2 linked regions of the Macaca mulatta genome follow. The protein of the gene in region 1 interacts with the protein of each later gene in a biochemical or structural test. Links are inferred from orthologs where the notes say so. Each region holds a gene or a part of one and is shown in the gene's direction. Other genes may lie near its edges.

Region 1 (8,754 bases):
CTAGAGACTTGTTGAATGGTTTTGACCAAAATGCTGATAATCATACTGACAATGAAGTCCAGGCTAAGGTGGTCTCAGATGGAGATGAGGAACTATTGAGAACTGGAGCAAAGGTCATTCTTGCTATGCTTTAGCAGAGACTGGCAGCATTTTGCCCCTGCCCTACAGATCTGTGGAACTTTGAACTTGAGAGAGATGATTTAGGGTATCTGTCAGAAGAAATTTCTAAGCAGAAAAGCATTCAAGATATAACCTGGCTTTTTCTGAAAGCATACAGTCATATGCATTCACAAAGAGATGGTCTTAAATTGGTACTTATGTTTAAAAGGGAAGCAAAGCATAAAAGTTTGGAAAATTTGCAGCCTGACCACGTGGTAGAAAAGAAAAACCAATTTTCTGGGGAGAAATTCAAGCTGGCTGCAGAAATTTACATAAGTAACCAGGAGCTGAATGTTAACTGCCAAACAATGGGGAAAATGTCACTAGGGCATTTCAGAGGTCTTCAAGGCAGCCCCTCCCATTACAAGCCCAGAGGCCTAGGAGGGAAAAATGGTTTCATGGGCCCTACTGCTGTGTGCAGCCTTGGGACTTGGTGGTCTGTGCCTCAGCCACTCCAGCTATGGCTAAAATTTCCATCTCCAGCTATGGCTAAAAGGTTCCATAGCTCAGGCTGTTGCTTCAAGGGTGCAAGCCTTGGTGGCTTCCATGTGCTCTTGGGCCTGCAAGTGCACAGAAAACAAGAGTTGAGCTTTGGGAGCCTCCACCTAGATTTCACAGGCTGCGTGGAAACACCTGGCTGTCCAGGCAGAAGTCTGCTACAGGGACACAGCCCTCATGGAGAACCTCTATTAGGGCCATGCAGAGGTGAAATGTGGGGTTGGAGCCCACACACAGAGTCCCCACTGGGGCACTGACCAGCGGGCTGTGAAAAGAGTTCCTCCATCTTCCAGACCCCAGAATGGTAGATCTACTGACCACTTTCACCATGTGCCTGGAAAAGTTGCAGGCATTCAGTGCCAGCCAATGAAGGCAGCCGTCGGGGCTGTACCCTGCAGAGCCACAGGGGCAGAGCTGCCCAAGGCCTTAACAGCCCACCTCTTGCATTAGCATGCCCTGGATGTGAGACAGGGGCTTAAAGGAGGTTATTTTGGAGCTTTAAAATTTAATGATTTCCCTGCTAGGTTTTGCACATGCATGGGGCCTGTGCCCCCTTTATTTTGGCCAATTTCTCCCATTTGGAATGGGAACATTTACCCAATTCCTGTACCCCTGTTGTATTTTGGAAGTAATTAACTTGTTTTTTATTTTAAAGGCTCATTGTCTCAGATGAGACTTTGGACTTGGACTTTTGGGTTACTGTGGAATAAGTTAAGACTTTGGGGGACTGTTGGAAAGACATCATTGGTTTTGAAATCTGAAAAGGACGTGAGATTTGGGAAAGGCCAGGGGAAGAATGATATAGTTTGGCTCCATGTCCCCACCCAAACCTCATCTTGAATTGTAATCCCTGCATGTTGAAGGAGGGGCCTGGTGGGAGGTGATAGGATCATTGGGGTGGTTTCCCCTGTGCTGTGTTCTCATGATAGTGAGGGATTTAAAAGTAGCTGTTTCCCCTGCACATGCACACTCTGTCTCTCCTATCACCTTGTGAAGAAGGTGTCTGCTTCCCCTCTGCCTTCCATCATGATTATAAGTTTCCTGAGGTCTCCCCAGCCATGGGTAACCGTGGGTCAGTTCAACCTCTTTTGTTTATAAATTGCCCAGTCTCAGGTAGTATCTTTACAGCAATGTGAAACTGAACTAATACATCTGGGAAATTCTTTTTCTCTCCTTCCTTTCTGAAGGACAGCTTTGCCTGATATTATATTCCTGGTTGCCAGGTTTTGTACTTTCAGTACTTTGAATATATCATCCCATTCTCTCAGCCTACATGATTTCTGCTGAGAAATCCACTGATAATCTTATGAAGCTTCCCTTGTATGTGAAGAATTGCTTTTCTCTTGCTTCTTTGAAAATTCTCTCTTTGTCATGGTGAGGATCTCTTTATATTTAATCTATTGGAGTTCTTTTGGGCTTCATAAATCTGGATGTTTATTTCATTTATGTCTCCAAATTTTGAGAGTTTTCTGTTCTTATTTTTAAAAATAAGTTTCTGCAACTTTCTCTTTCTCTGCTTCTTCTGGAACTCTTGTCATGCATATTAGTTTTCTTAACAGTGTCCTGTAATTTTTGTCAGCTTTCTGCAATCTTTATCATTCCTTTTATTACTCTGACTGGGTAATTTCAAATGACCTGTATCTGAGTGTGCTGATTCTTTCTCCTGCTTGATCAAGTCTGCTGCTGAAGATGTTTGTGAATTTTTTCAATTCAGTCATTGTGTTCTTCAGTTCGAGAATTTCTGTTTGGTTCTTTTTATGGTTCCTATCTATCTTTTTGTTGAACTTCTAATTTTGCTCATGTATTATTTTCCTGATTTTGTTTACTGTCTATCTATATTGTTTTGTAGCTCACTGAGCTTTCTTAAGATAATTATTTTTAACTCTTTGTCATGCAGTATAGATCTCCATTTCTTTAGAGTCGCCTCCTGCTGCTTTATTTTCTTCCTTTGGTGGTTTCTTGTTTCCCTGATTATTTGTGATCAGTGTGGCCTTGCATTGAAGTAGGTACCTATTTCAGTCTTTACATACTAGCTTCAGTAGAGGAAGCCGTTCACTAGTCAGATTGACCAGAGATTATGGGTGGGCTGTCTGTTGGGGTCTATGCACAGGATTTCTGTTGGAGTTCTAAGGTAGGCAGGGCTGGATTCTGGGTTCATTCATTGTGGTTGTCTGTATTCTGTGCACAAGGACTGGCTTGAAGCATGGATCCTTGAGGGCTGACTTGGCACTGAAATGAGCCTTAAGCCTGAGTCTGCAGGGGCCAGCCTAACATGGGGATCACCTAGCACCTGAGTTCATGGGGACAGACCTGTTCCTGAGTTTATTCAGGCTGTCCTGGGACCAGGGTCCACTGGGGTGAGCCCAGCATCTGGGTCCACATGGCCAAGATCTCTGGAGGCTGACCTGGTGCTGGATCTGCAGGGGATGGCCTGAATTCTAGGCCCATGGGTACCAACTTGGAGCCTTGGGCTGCTGGGGCTAATGTGGAGGCTAGAGTCTTGGGGGCCAGGCTAGAGCTGGAGCAGGTCTGAAGTCTAGGTCTTCTGTGGCCACCTTGGAGTCTAGACCCCCAGGGGCTGACCTGGTCTGGGGTGAGCATGGGGCTGAGGCCACAGAGGCCAGTCTGGCCTGTGGCAGGGCTGAATCCTGGTGCCGGGGTTTACTGGAGTGGGCTTGGTGCTTGGGGTCTGTGGTGAAGGTGGGTGCTATCTTAACTGTTCCTCTTCCATGCAAGAGGGTATCTCTCTCCATGCTGTGCTGCCCAGGCTTGAAGGTGGGTGACACTGGTAATGTGAAATTGTCCTTCCTATGCACTTCAATGTGTCTTTTCTTACTTCTGTGCTGCAACTGGGTGGTACAACCTCTCACCTGATTCCTGAGCTCTAGTGAAGTTATTTTCGTGCATGGATACTTATTCAAATTGATGTTTCTGCAAGGGATGAGCACTAGAAACTCCTGTTCTGACAAACTCCTATTCCGGTTCTTGCTGACATCACTCCCTGAAATAGTTAATATACTTAACAGCTGAACACGGATAGGATGTTCACGGAATATGTTGACAGGACAAAAAGTTGAAACTGTTGGCAGAAACCCAAAGTCAATATCGAAGCCAAGGAAAACATTGCCTGCGGTGCCACATTAGAACAGCTTGAAGACCGTTCATTTTTAAGTGACAAGAGACTCACCTCCAAGAAGCAATTGTGTTTTCAGGTAGCAAATTTCTATTATTCTGATTGTTTCCAAAGAAACTATAATTTTTAAAGTATAGTTTTTTACTTTATGAGAAAATTAGTCATTTATATTCTAATTTCCTGAGTATATAGATAGTAGAGAAGGAACTAATATTCCTTTATGTAGAAATATTTAAATGTAAGATGACTTTAAATCAAAAAGAATACTTGATTGATTTAAAATTTTTAATTGGGCTTTAATATTTTCAGAGGTTTTCTTTATTTAGGGATTTTTGGACTGACATTATTGCCATTATTTATTAATTTTCTTTTTGCTCAAATCAAGAGGTTTCATAACTGTTTAATCTCTCTCTCTACCAATTCCCTTTCCAACATTACTAGCCACAGAGTTTGCCAATCAACAATAAACACAGCAGTAGTCTGAAGGTCTCAATTTGTATCTTGGGAAGCATTATAAACTTTCCAACTCCCTAGACACAAATGTAGAGAAAAAAACCCCTTGTTTTCTATACCAGAAACTGTGTGCTTTGTCTTGTAATTCAGACATTTACAAGAAAATCTGTATCACCTTAAATTAAGATTTATGTTAAATGCAGTCTAAAACCAACAGAGTTATGTATTGTTTTCTTTTTTAGAATGATTTTATTCAAGCAAGCAACTTATTTCATTTCCTTGTTTGCTACAGTTTCCTGTGGTAAGTGAATTATCTATAAAGCATGAAATTCAGGCTAAGACAGGAGTAGCCAAGCAAGTCGCACCACCTCTGGAGAAAGCTATTGAACATACAGCTTCGGGGATGGAGATAGTCCCTGATGATTCAGGACACGTGTCTATTTAATGTTCCAGAACAAGTACGACTTGTGAGATATATTGCTGTATACATACATTGCAGACCAGAGGAAGGAGCTCAGAAGCGGGAATGTCTTGGGACTTGTGTTAATAAAAACTTCTGTTCACAGATGACACTCTGCAAAACAAAACTCAAAACAAAAAAATTACTCCTCTATTTTTATCAACATTAAAAAATTAAACATTATCTGAAATTTCAAAAGAGTGCTGGGCATTATATAGTGTCTGGGTCCAATCCAAGTATCTGTTAGGTACATGATACATAGTTTTACTCTGGACAGCCAGGGAACCATTTCAAAAATGAAAGTACCTGGTTTAAATTTAACTTAGCAAACCAGGCATTTGGATAGTTCTAGGTGAATAACTTTCAACACTAGATTTCGATCTCATTTCTCTATTAATATCATTAATTTTTGGAGAATAAAAATGATTCTGGACATTTCATTAATCGCTATAGAGGGAGTTTTCTCTGTGTCCCCACAAGGCATGATTCTGAGTCTATGGTGACTTAAGAGGGCCACATAACAATGAGTATTTAACTTTCCTCTCGTATGGCTACAATAAACGTCTACAGGGAAGGTTTACATTCATAAAGAGACTACTTTTCCAGGAAAAAAGGCTTTGATTCCCCCTAAATCACAACTCCCCTGTGTCTGTCCCTCAACCCTGATTGCTTTTCTAAACCGTGATTTACCAACCCATGTGCAAACCCACTGAAAACTGAAAAGGAGCATGAGCCAGGGATACTGTGAACCACGGCCACCTCCAGGTGGTTTCTCATTTTCTGTTTTTTTCTTCTGGCAAAATAAATCATGATTATGGCTAGGAAAATTAAGGATGTAAATAAGCAAAAAACTATAAACTACATATTGCATGTAGTCCCCAAATTCAGAAGCAGTCGTTGTTAAACATCTTTTGTTTAGTCTTTCAGATATTTTTCTACATATGCCTATTTGCACATTTTACAAAAAAGAGTTATTAACTATGGATACTCTTTGACTTGCATTTTCCACTTACAGCTACCTTTTGGTGCAAATAAATGACATTTTTTGGAGCTTGCTATTCTCTTTTTATGGTATGTTTGTGTGCACATTCTTATGCACTTAGTTATTTCTGTAGAATACATTTTTTGAAATAAAAATACTAGATTCAAAGGTATGAATATTTTAGAAGGTTTTATGGTGTGGCATCATGAAATTATCTTTCAGAAAAGTTACTCCCTAGTTGACTTCTTCTACCAGCTAATAAGAGTCCTCATTTACCCCACTTAGGCCAACTCTAACAGGCTTCTGTTGCTTTGCATCCCGACATGTTTATCTTTCTGGAAACAGTATCCTAATTTATTTCTGCAGAGCTACTGCCTCTCAGTTTTGGTCCATGTGGTTCTGGTGACCCTGACTCTTCTGCTGAACCAGGAAGTGCACACATCCTGCTGACTGCAGTGACCCAATCAGAGCCAACATCTTGCAATGAAGCGTTTGTTTAGACGTCTAGAAATAGGACTCTTACTTTTTTTTTTCCAATTTAACTTGAAACATAAGAGAATACAGAGGCCTGAGCTGCTGGTCCTATTTTGCTACTATGTGGAGCTTGAGAGTAATGGTAACATCATGACTGGAGCAAGCGGAAGGAGACTATTGTCCACTGATGCTATCCGTTGAGCACAATGTGGGGTTACTCCTTAAGCCAGAGTCACCGTGGGCTTTTTGGCTCCTGAACCAATAGATTTCATTTGTATTCAAGCCACTTTGTACTAGGTTTTCCATCATTTGCAATCAAAACCAGTATACAAATACTGGTTATTTAATTTTTCATTTTTACTAATCTCATGGAAAACTGGCTTCTAGTTGTTTTAACTTGCCTGTATTTGTGATTCTTCCCATTTTCGTGTACTTACTAATCACTTCTATTTCTTTTGTAAATTATCTTTTCATATTTGTCCACTAATTCTTTAAAATTAGAGTACTTTTCTTCTCCTTATTGTTTATGTAATTGTTAAACAAGACTGAATAACCTGCCCAAAATCCGTGGACATGGGAGCCCATGTGAAAGCTTTGAAAGCCACCATCATTATGAGATAAACTATATAACAGTACTTTACATATGCTCCAAAATACAGTACAGACACGGCTATCATTGTCATGATCATCATTATCAGCATGATCACCAACTTAGGAGGATAAGCAAGAACACCTACTAGAAGTTTCTTTCCATTCAGCAACAAAGTTGGCGTTTTTCTAGTCACTCCCTTCCCTGACTGAGTCACATGGCAGGTCACAGAGGCTCAATGGCAGAATGGGAAGCTCTGGGCCAGCACCAGCCATTGTGTGCATCCTTGCGTGTGAACCTAGGTGCTGGAAGAGGAGTGACTGCTTGATAATTATGAGTCAGTCAAAACCACCAACTGTCTGACAAAACAGACCTCTTTGTAACCTGTATTGTCACTAAACCAATGCCTCCATGCTTTGTGCATACATGAAATCTAGGCAATACACTTGTATTCCCCAAAGCTTCCATTTGAAGAGATCTGTGCTCTTCCCAAATGTAAACCTTACCCGAGAGGTGGTCATCTGGCCGCACCTCTGAGAGGGATAGAAGTCTTGCTGTGTTGGGTGGTCAGACTGGGGCTCAGGGCCAGAATTCCCAGGGGGTAGGATTGTGCAGAGAAGATGGCACTCTCCAGTGCTTAATAAAATGCACGTGGTCTAAGTTGCCCATTCCCTCAAAGGCAATAAAAAAATAGGTACTATTTAAATTGAAGAGTAACTACTGCCCCAGCGAATGGACAGGTTGTCATCGGAATAGCCATGGTTAATGCCCCAGCGAATGGACAGGTTGTCATCGGAATAGCCATGGTTAATGGTCAGTTGACTGACTGAAATGAATATGCTGGCTGACCAGGAAAGCTCATTAAGCAGACTTGGAAGAGAGTCTTTCCAGGTAAATCCACATTTACAAATTAAAGCAGTAATGACACCTAATTCTCTAATAATAGGTGGGGTGCAGTGTATTTTAGAGCTGGGAATAATTCCAAACAGCAAATAGTTCAAAATTTACTTTCCATTTAGCATATGCATGCATTTGCTTAAACTATCTTAAAAATGAGTAAAAAATATTGTCAGTTTGCTTGAATCATACTGAGATGCGGAACAATATTTAGCACTGCATGCTAGAAAAGGACACAGGACTGGGAGTCAGGGCTGGGTGACTGTCGCAGGATTTTCATTAAGTGTGTGGATCTTGGGCAAGTCTGTATGCCCTGAGATTCAGTTATTTAACTTTCTTTCAAAAAACCTAATCCAGATGCAGATAACAAAACCTGCTTCTAACTTCCCTTACAGAATTGTGAGAAGCTGGTGGAGATGTTTGTAACCAAAGTGTTTTGAAAATAGAGCAAATATTATTCTTTTTAAGGCATGATATTTTCATAGCATGTCAGGCAACAGGGAAAAACTAAGTTAGGATTTTATTTTATTGTGGGTAATTTATGTGCAAATTTTTGTGCAATTTAATGAAAATAAGCCAAAGTTTTAATGCAGAAGTGCCCAGAAAATTAAATAACAATCTACATTGTTCAAATGGTTGCCTTAATATATTTTATTTTCTCAGCATAATTAGAATTATATTATACAGGTCTTGGAGTAGTCAGTCAGTGGGAGAAGTTAAGACAACAGATATCTTTTTGTTAAAATTATTATTTGAATTATCTCAAATTAACTTTTATGGTTCTATCACAGGATGTCTGACTCAACTATATGAAAACGCCTTCTTCAGAGGTGGGGATGTAGCTTCCATGTACACCCCGACCGCCCAGCACTGCCAGATGATGTGCACATTCCACCCAAGGTGTTTGCTATTCAGTTTTCTTCCAGCAAGTTCCATCAATGACATGGAGAAAAGGTAAAAGTTGATATTTCATTATTGGAGAAGCCATTTTTCTAAACTGAATCGGTTTTGTGCAAAGAGGTGTAGTATAACTGAGAGTTCTGTCTCAGACGGGGTTCAAGGACCAGCTTCAGCAAAATCCCTTCAAGTGGTTCTTACCAATGCAGATT
Region 2 (8,813 bases), on another chromosome or scaffold:
TTTGTGAAAGGCAGAGTGAAGAATAGTGTTGAAGCACAGGCAACTGAAGTCTCCAGTGCAGAAGGGCTGATGTGGTTTTCCTCACCACCACTCATGGGGAAGCCCAGTGCTGGTGCCTGCTCATGTCTAGCAGGCAGCCATCCTCCTGTCTCAGTTTATCTTTCACAGCTGGGTTTAGGGGCCTCTGGAGCACAGGCGTGCCAGCCAATTGTAGCCCTTGTACACAGGGTAGAGCCAGCAGACACTTATCTTGGCAGGGTCCATGAAAATCCATCTTTATGCTATACAGGTTCCCTTTTGTTCAACACTTTCCTCCGTGGAAGAAAACCACAACAACTTAAATGACACCCTTCACCACCTGGGCTTTCATCAGCGTGTACATGAGGGGAGACTGGTGACCCACTGGTGGGGCTATCTGATCATATTACTCTGATTTTTCTAAAGCTCCTCTTCCTTTGCTGAATGACTGGACGCTCACAACTCTGGCTGGGCATCTTCAGTTCCCCATGTGCACACACACACACACACACACACAGGCTTCTCTCTTCTTTGAAAGTCTTTGGATTCTGCAGAGCAGATTTGTCCTACGATGTAATAAACTGTGAAGTCTTCAACCCTCAGGTGGGTTTTCTAGTACGCTTTGTTATGAGCAGTACCAGACTAAGTGGTATTTGCACACACATAGTGTATTTCGTTCTTATGGCTCTGGGGGTGTGTGTGTGGGTGTGTGTGAGGAAGAAGCAGGGGGAGAGATACAACACTTCTGGGGAAAAGAGTGCAATTGCTAGTATCACACAAAAAGTATGAAAACTTTTCCAAGAATTAGGGAGTAATATGATTTGGCAGAAAAGTAAAGTCATATCCAGTTCAATCAACCTTGAATGAATTTAAAGATGCTCCCTGTAGTTAGGACTCCAAGGCTGAGGCTTAGTCGTTGCTAGCTTTTAATATTAGGCACAGCATTCGGGTGCAGTGGCTCACACCTGTAATTCCAGCACTTTGGGAGGCCAAGGCAGGGAGATCAATGGAGGTCAGGAGTTCAAGACCAGCCTGCCAACATGGTGAAACCCCATCTCTACTAAAAATACAAAAATTAGCTGGGTGTGGTGGCAAGTCCCTGTAATCCCAGCTACTTGGGAGGCTGAGGCAGAAGAATTGCTTGAGCCTGGGAGGTCCAATGAGCTGAGATTGCACCACTGCACCCCAGCCTGGGCCACAGAGCAAGACTCTGTCTCAAAAAAAAAAAAAATTAGGCATAGAATCTAAGAATAAATTAACCTGAAATTTATTATATAAGTGTATATAAAATAAGATGCACAGCCATGTTTTACATCTCTCCAAGAAATCTTTGTTCTATTTTATAGGTGAGCATAAAGATTTTCTTTACAGAATTTTTTTATCAGAAAAAAAAGATTAAAAATAGTCCAAACATCTACGTCCTATGTCAAAAAAAAAAAAAAAAGGAAAAAGGAAAAAAGAAAGAAAAAGTAGGTTTGTCATCATGAACATGGCTCTACAGATTTTTTTAAAAATTAAAGTCTAAACAAGGAGCAGAGTGAATAGGCCGATTTTTTTTTTTTTTTTTTTTTTTTGGACAGAGTTTTGCTCTTTTTGTCCAGGCTGGAGTGCAATGGTGTCATCTCAGCTCACTGCAATCTCCACCTCCCAGGTTCCAGCAATTCTCCTGCCTCAGCTTCCCAAGCAGCTGGGATTACAGGCATGTGCCACTACGCCCGGCTAATTTTGTATTTTTAGTGGAGATGGACTTTCTCCATGTTGGTCAGGCTGGCCTCGAACTCCTGATCTCAGGTGATCCACCCGCCTCGGCCTCCCAAAGTGCTGGGATTACAGGCGTGAGCCACCGCACCCGGCCAGTTTTTATCCTTTAGGAGTAAGGATGTTGATACCATCAAGCCTCACACGTCTGTTGAGATGATCAACTGTAGTTTTCCAATGTTGGCCTACAGATGGGGGCCATTCTGTAATATAGTTTCCCCACTCTGTGTTGATGTGAGGAAAATAAGAATAATAAAGTTTTATTGCTGATTTTGAGGGAGAAGGGTTCTATGACCCGCCTTGGGGAAGAGAAATTCTAGCTTCCGTGGCCTGCCTTGAGGGAAGAAGTGGAGCAGGAGAAAGACAGGCAGGAGAAAGCAAGAAAGAGGCTTTGTTTTTGCAGCCTTTTTAATGTCCTTCAGTTCGAAGTACTCGGCATGCCAAAAAGCCATATTTGGGGCTATCTTTTTCTGCGCCAAACCAACACCACCAAACCAGAAAGAAGCAAGCAGAGGGAATCCAGGGCTTCACCCAACCCGTCTCTTCCTATGCTTCTCCTCTATCGCCTCCACCCTGGGAGCAATTTTCTTTTACAGAACTAATGCAATTGAGCATAAAAAAGCTGGCCTGTCCAGAGACCAGATAGGACACCCATGTTTTATTTTCAGTTGTGTCAACATCCTGTATGAGACTCCCGGAACTCACTGGCTGCCCCTGTGCATGAGCTTCTTAGGCATGTAATAGAATTAATAGCAGTCTGCTTTTGTGCAGGTAGGTATCCTGCCAAGAGATTCTGCAGGAAACATGTCTGCACATTGTACTCATTCTTGCATTGTTTACCCATGTAGTGACCTTCAAAAATGGCTTTGTGAAAGTCACAGGGGAATAACCGAGTTAGTAAGTACTTTATTCCCCTCCTTCATCAGATTCTGCTCTGATTTGCTACATAAAGTTGTATAATCACCTGGAAATATGCACTGTGCTCCCTCGTGATTTTCAAATGCAAATGAGCAGGTTAACAACCCCAGTGTTGCAATGTTCTAGCCGTAAATATGTTTGGATAACCCAGCAGAGCCATTTAACCTTTGGGAACAGGGCAACTAGCGTATGGCAGCAGGAATCCAACCAGTGCCCTGAGTGCTGAGGCAGAGAGGAGGACAGAAAACGAGAGGCTGGAGATTGTCAAATTCAGTATCCCAGTTGGCTCTTGATTCTTGGTGAAACCATCCCTCAGCTCCTAGAGGGAGACTGTTAGATCATGAAACTAATTATCATCCTTTTCTTCTGCTCCAGGCTGCTACTAAGTTTAACCCAGGAATCACAGTCCGAGGAAATTGACTGCAATGATAAGGATTTATTTAAAGCTGTGGATGCTGCTCTGAAGAAATATAACAGTCAAAACCAAAGTAACAACCAGTTCGTACTGTACCGCATAACTGAAGCCACTAAGATGGTGAGTGAACTGTGTTTAACCTTGAAGTCACTTGGGATTTGTACTGTCACTAGGAGCCCAGGCCTCACACACACACACACACACACACACCCCACCACCACCACCACCACCACCCCGCACCATCACCACCACACCCCCCATCACCACCACCCACCACCACCACCTATCACCACCACCCCCCAACATCACCACCACCCACCACTCCCCACCACCACCACCACTACACCACCACCACCACCACCCACCACCACCCACCACCACCACCACCACCCCACACCACCACCACCCACCACCACCACTACCCAGCACCACCCACCACCACCACTACCCAGCACCACCACCCCACCACCACCACCACCAAAGATGTGATCATCAAAGGCAGAAGTTTACAACTTGTGGAAAGACCGATACCAGTCTCTGGCCTGGGGTGGGAGGGCAGAGTATGACTCATCCTCAGGCAGATGGGCTTCCTGATCAGAGAAGTAGAATGTAGGGTGAAATGAAACAAAAGTAAATGGAGAAATCTGAACAGGACCAACTAGAGTGGGAGAATTTAGGAATTTAGTTAGACTGCAGCAAAAGAATTCACTGGGTCTCTGGCCCTAGGCTAAAAAATATAGACCTCCAAACCTTAAATGGGAGGGGATACTTAATGGGTCATGTCTAAGAGGAGTCAGGAATGAGTTTAGTGCAATTCTACGGAATTAGACAGAAGTCTGTATGGCTGAATGTACCAGCTTTAACAGCAATGTTTGTTTTTGATATTATTGTAATGATGTACTCCAGTAGGAGATAAATCCTTGCAGGATGCATGGTTCAAAGAAATACCAATCTTTCAAGAGTATGTTTAAACAAATTTCACTATAAAAGACTACCTCTCTGGGACAGCTAAGCAATTGGTTACTTTAGCAGAAAAAAAAAAAAAACTAACCATGTGACAACATGGGGATAAAAGAAAATAAACACAGTGGACATGTTATTTTTTCTGAAAATAAAATTGAGCCATTTTGTTTCACAATCTAGTACAGTCATGTGAGAAATTCTGCTTCATGGTAATCTCAAGCAACAGTTTATTTGTGGTGTGGTACCCAATAGATTGTGGTGGGTACGGTTGTAAATATACAAAAAACATTAAACTGCATACCTTTAGAGGGTAAATTTTATGGCACGTAAATTATATCTCAATAAAGCTGTTTAAAAAAGAAAAAGTAGGAAACAAAACAAACCAAATAAAAGTACTAAAATCACCCATAATTAATGCCACCATACAGAGATAACTGTTAACATTTGTTTAAGGTTTTCTTGTTTGCTTTTTCTAATTCGTAAAAGTCACATATGTTCATCAGGGGAAAAAGGTCACTTAGAAATGTTTGCTTGAAGAAGAATGTGAAAGATAATTATAATCTCACCACTGACAGACAAACATTTTAACAGCTTGCTGTGCATCTTTCCAGACTTTTAAAAAACATAGATTTATATATAAACCAGTTTTTACAAAAATGGGCTAATACTATGCATACTGCTTTATAACCTTTAAAACGACATTGTGAGTATGTTATAAACATTCTTTCACATAAATGTTTATGATACAAATATAAATATATTTTAAGTGAATGCTTTGCTCTCAAGTCAAAGATCAATATTCCTAACTTTACTGGAACCCACTAGAATTATTTGCTATCGGGTCAGTTGGATGAACCCTAAGTATCTTTGGCTGCTTTTCAGGTTCGCTCTGACACATTTTATTCCTTCAAGTACGAAATCAAGGAGGGGGATTGTCCTGTTCAAAGTGGCAAAACCTGGCAGGACTGTGACTACAAGGATGCTGCAGAAGCGGTAAGTGTATTGGCCATTCTTGGGCCTTCTGTTTTCTCTGTTGACTCTGCCAGATTTTTTTACTCCTGCAGAAATGATGACTACTGGTGAGCCTGTTTATGAGAAATGCAAATAAACATTCTAATGTGTAGAAAAGTCAGATGCTTTGTATCTGTGTTCTTGTATAGACAGAAAAATTATGGAGAGGCCAGCAGTTAAACATGGAGAAAGCCTTTCCATGAGAAGGGAGCTCTAGTGTCCAGTCAGAACATGTGGCTCAGACTCCAGAGAGACAACAGATGGACATTTGGGCCAAGCCGAAGGGCTGGCGAGGGGAGGGCCTGGGTGCTTCCATTGCACAACCTTGAGTGCAAATCTTGACTCTGCCTTCCATTAGCTGTGTGATAGCGGGTGAGCTGTGACCTCTCAGAACTGGCACTCTCCACTGTATATGGGAGATAATACTGACCTCATCAGGTTGTCAGAGGATGAAATTAGATGAATTATGCAAATAACTTTGATAACAATGCCTATCTTAACCAAATGCCTAACATATAGGCCTGGCACACCGTAGCCGGTTGTTTTGCTTTAATTAAGGAAGACTTCAGACAGTATCTGCCTCGGAAGCAAGCCTTGTTTTTCATGGATTGATTCCCTTCTTTTATGTCAGAACGTAAAAGATGACTGTCAAGTCATCTGCGGTTACCGAACAGCACTGAACTCCAAGTCAGGAGTCCAGGAGTTTGCAGTGCTGGTTGTCCCTTCTCAATCGTCTCATCTGCAAGGTGGGGATAAGTAGCTGCTGTGCCCTGTGCTGCCTGCTTCTAGGAGCTGTGTGGATAAAGGGAGGTGTGCTCTATCCTGATGGAATAATATCTGTCACTTAGAATCCAATGGATATGACTGAAGAATGACAAGACAAAACAAAACAAAAACAGTGTTCAACAATAACAATTAAACAACTGCCTATTGTTAAGTGCCTGCTCTGTGGTGGGCCTCTAGTAGGCAAACACAGCGTGTGTTTGCACACATACTGTTCACAACAACTCTAAGAGATAGATGTGTCCTATCTCCTACAAGATGGGTAAACTGAGACTCCGAGAGTCAACGGGACATGACATAGGTAACAGCTAGCAAGTGACAAGGCTGGAACTGAAAAACATTTTGATGCCAAGGTCCTTGCCCTTTCTATTAAGCTAAAATGAAGTTTATATGAACAGTATTAACTCACTAAAGTTGAGAAGTAGATAACAGGAGTGTTTACCAGGCTGGTACTAGACCTCTGCACCCATCTTGGTTAGAAAGAAATAGCTCCAGGGCTCAGCCAGGCACAGTGGTTCACGCCTGCAATCCTAACACTTTGGGAGGCCGAGGTTATTGGATCATTTGAGGTCAGGGGTTTGAGACCAGCGTGACCAACGTAGTGAAACCCCGTCTCTACTAAAAATACAAAATTAGCTGGGCGTGGTGGCATGCACATGTAATCTCAGCTACTTGGGAGGCTGAGGCAGAAGAATCGCTTGAATCTGGGAGGCAGAGGTTGCAGTGAGCCGAGATCGCACTATTGCACTCCAGTCTGGGTAACAAGAGTGACACTCTGTCTCAAAAAAATAAAAAGAAAAAAGAAAAGAAAAAGAAAAAAGAAATACCTCCAGGGCTCAAAACAAAGACTCAACCTTTAAAACCTTTTTACACTGTCTTTCCTCCAACATCTTATGAATATCAGAGGCTTATGTAATCATTAGGCTATAAAAAAAAACATTTATTCTCATGTCTCAAAACTCTTTTGGATAAAATCTTCACAAGTTCTGTTTTGTTTTGTTTTTTTAAGGAAAGCCACATTTAGCAACAGTACTAGGTAGACTTTCCCATCTGAAAGATTAGGATAAATTATCTTTCTTTTCTTTTTAGGCCACTGGAGAATGCACGGCAACCGTGGGGAAGAGGGCGAGTATGAAATTCTCTGTGGCTACCCAGACCTGCCAGATTACTCCAGGTAGCTGGTTTATCCTCTGGCACTGCCCTGGTGGGAAATTAACCGCTTCTGTGTGCCAGGAACACAACCTTGACCAGGCTCTGCTTGCTCCCAGAGGGCGGCAGTAGTAAAGCCATTTGCACAATTAGGGAGCATTGGGTGGAGCGGCAGAGCCCGGAGGGTGGGCCAGGCTTGTGACCATCATCCCCTTAGGACTATCCCAACTCTTCCCGTGTGCTGCATTGTACCCAGTATGTGCAAGGGCTCTGCAGAAGGACCAGGAGGCACAAGACCTGCCTGCCCTCTATTGTAGGCAGCATCCCAGAGTGAGGAGTGCATAGGCTTTGAGGGCAGCCCTGGCCTGGAATCTTTCAGAGCTCCTCACCTTCTTGGCTGTCCTTTTCGTTGTCTAGAAAAGGGAGGTAACAGTACTTCCCAGCTCACAGGACTGTCGTGAGGCTGAAATGAGATGATATGTCTGGAGGTACAATCAACATACTAACATATTAATCATAATAACATATTAGCAACAATCAGGATAAAGATAATAGCTAACATGTATTGAGTCCTTATGTCCCAGCCATGACTCGAAGCTCCTTACATGTATTAACTTCTCCTTCTTTTTTTCTTTTACTGATACATTATATTTTACATATTTATGAGGTACATGTAAGTGTTTTTTACATGCCTTGAACATGTAATGATCAAGTCAGAGTATTTGGGGTACCCATCACCTGGAATATTTATCATGTCTATGAATTGGTGATATTTCAAGTCCTCTCTTCTAGCTACTTTGAAACATACAATATATTGTTGCTAACTATAGTCAGCCTAGTCTGCTATATAACATTAGAACGTATTTCTTCTATCTAACTATAATTCAGTACCTATTTTACCAAGCTCTTCATTTCCCCCTTCTACTTCCCTGCCCTGCTCAGCCTCTGGTATCCGTCATTCTCTTCTCTCCTCTATCTCCATGTGATTAAGTGTTTTACCTTCCAAATATGAGTGAGAACAATATGCAGTTTGTCTTTCTGTGCTTCGGTTGTTTCACTGAACAACCTCCAGTTCTGTCCATGTGGCTTTAAATGATATGATTTCATTCTTTGTTTATGGTCAAATAGTATTTCATTATGCATATATACCACATTTTCTTTTTTTTTCTTTTTGAGATGGAGTCTCGCACTGTCACCCAGGCTGGGGTACAGTGGCACGATCTTGGCTCACTGCAACCTCTGGGGTTCAAGCAATTCTCCAGCCTCAGCCTCCTGAATAGCTAGGATTATGGGCACCCGCCACCACGCCCAGATAATTTTTGTATTTTTAGTAGAGATGGGGTTTCACCATGTTGGCCAGGCCGGTCTCGAACTTCTGACCTCAGGTGATCTGCCCACCTTAGCCTCCCATACTGCTGGGATTACAGGTGTGAGCCACCGCACCTGGTCCCCCACATTTTCTTTATTCATTAACCTTTTGATGGACACTTAAGTTGATTTCATATCTTTGCTATTGTGAATACTGCTGCGACCAACCTGGGAGTGGAAGTACCCCTTTGATAGACTGATTTCTTTTCGTCTGGGTAGATGCCCAGTAGCTGGACTACTGGATATATGGTATTTGGTGTTTTCATTTCTTGAGAAATCTCCACACTATTTTCCATAGTGGTTGTACTAATTTACATTCTTACCAACAGTGCATAAGCGTTCCCTTTTCTCCATACCCTCCTAGCTGTGTTTGCCGCTTACACAGCAAGCAGCGAGAGCTTGGTGGGTGAAGAAGCCCAGGCTCCCAGGG

Evidence for each region.
Region 2: the proteins of KLKB1 (region 1) and KNG1 form a complex in vitro, tested with the Homo sapiens proteins (4 studies listed by BioGRID). The link is inferred for Macaca mulatta from reciprocal best matches to the Homo sapiens genes KLKB1 and KNG1.

The regions. Positions count from the first base shown.
Region 1 is NC_133410.1:194,646,073-194,654,826, forward strand, and holds the start of KLKB1 (plasma kallikrein), read left to right. Parts: upstream 1-3,741; 5' UTR 3,742-3,869; intron 3,870-4,485; 5' UTR 4,486-4,486; coding exon 4,487-4,544; intron 4,545-8,436; coding exon 8,437-8,599; intron 8,600-8,754. UniProt on the Homo sapiens protein: Participates in the surface-dependent activation of blood coagulation. Activates, in a reciprocal reaction, coagulation factor XII/F12 after binding to negatively charged surfaces.
Region 2 is NC_133407.1:11,896,726-11,905,538, reverse strand, and holds the start of KNG1 (kininogen-1), read left to right. Parts: upstream 1-2,828; 5' UTR 2,829-3,034; coding exon 3,035-3,269; intron 3,270-4,897; exon of another isoform or gene 4,898-4,934; coding exon 4,935-5,065; exon of another isoform or gene 5,066-5,132; intron 5,133-6,928; exon of another isoform or gene 6,929-6,955; coding exon 6,956-7,040; intron 7,041-8,813. UniProt on the Homo sapiens protein: Kininogens are inhibitors of thiol proteases.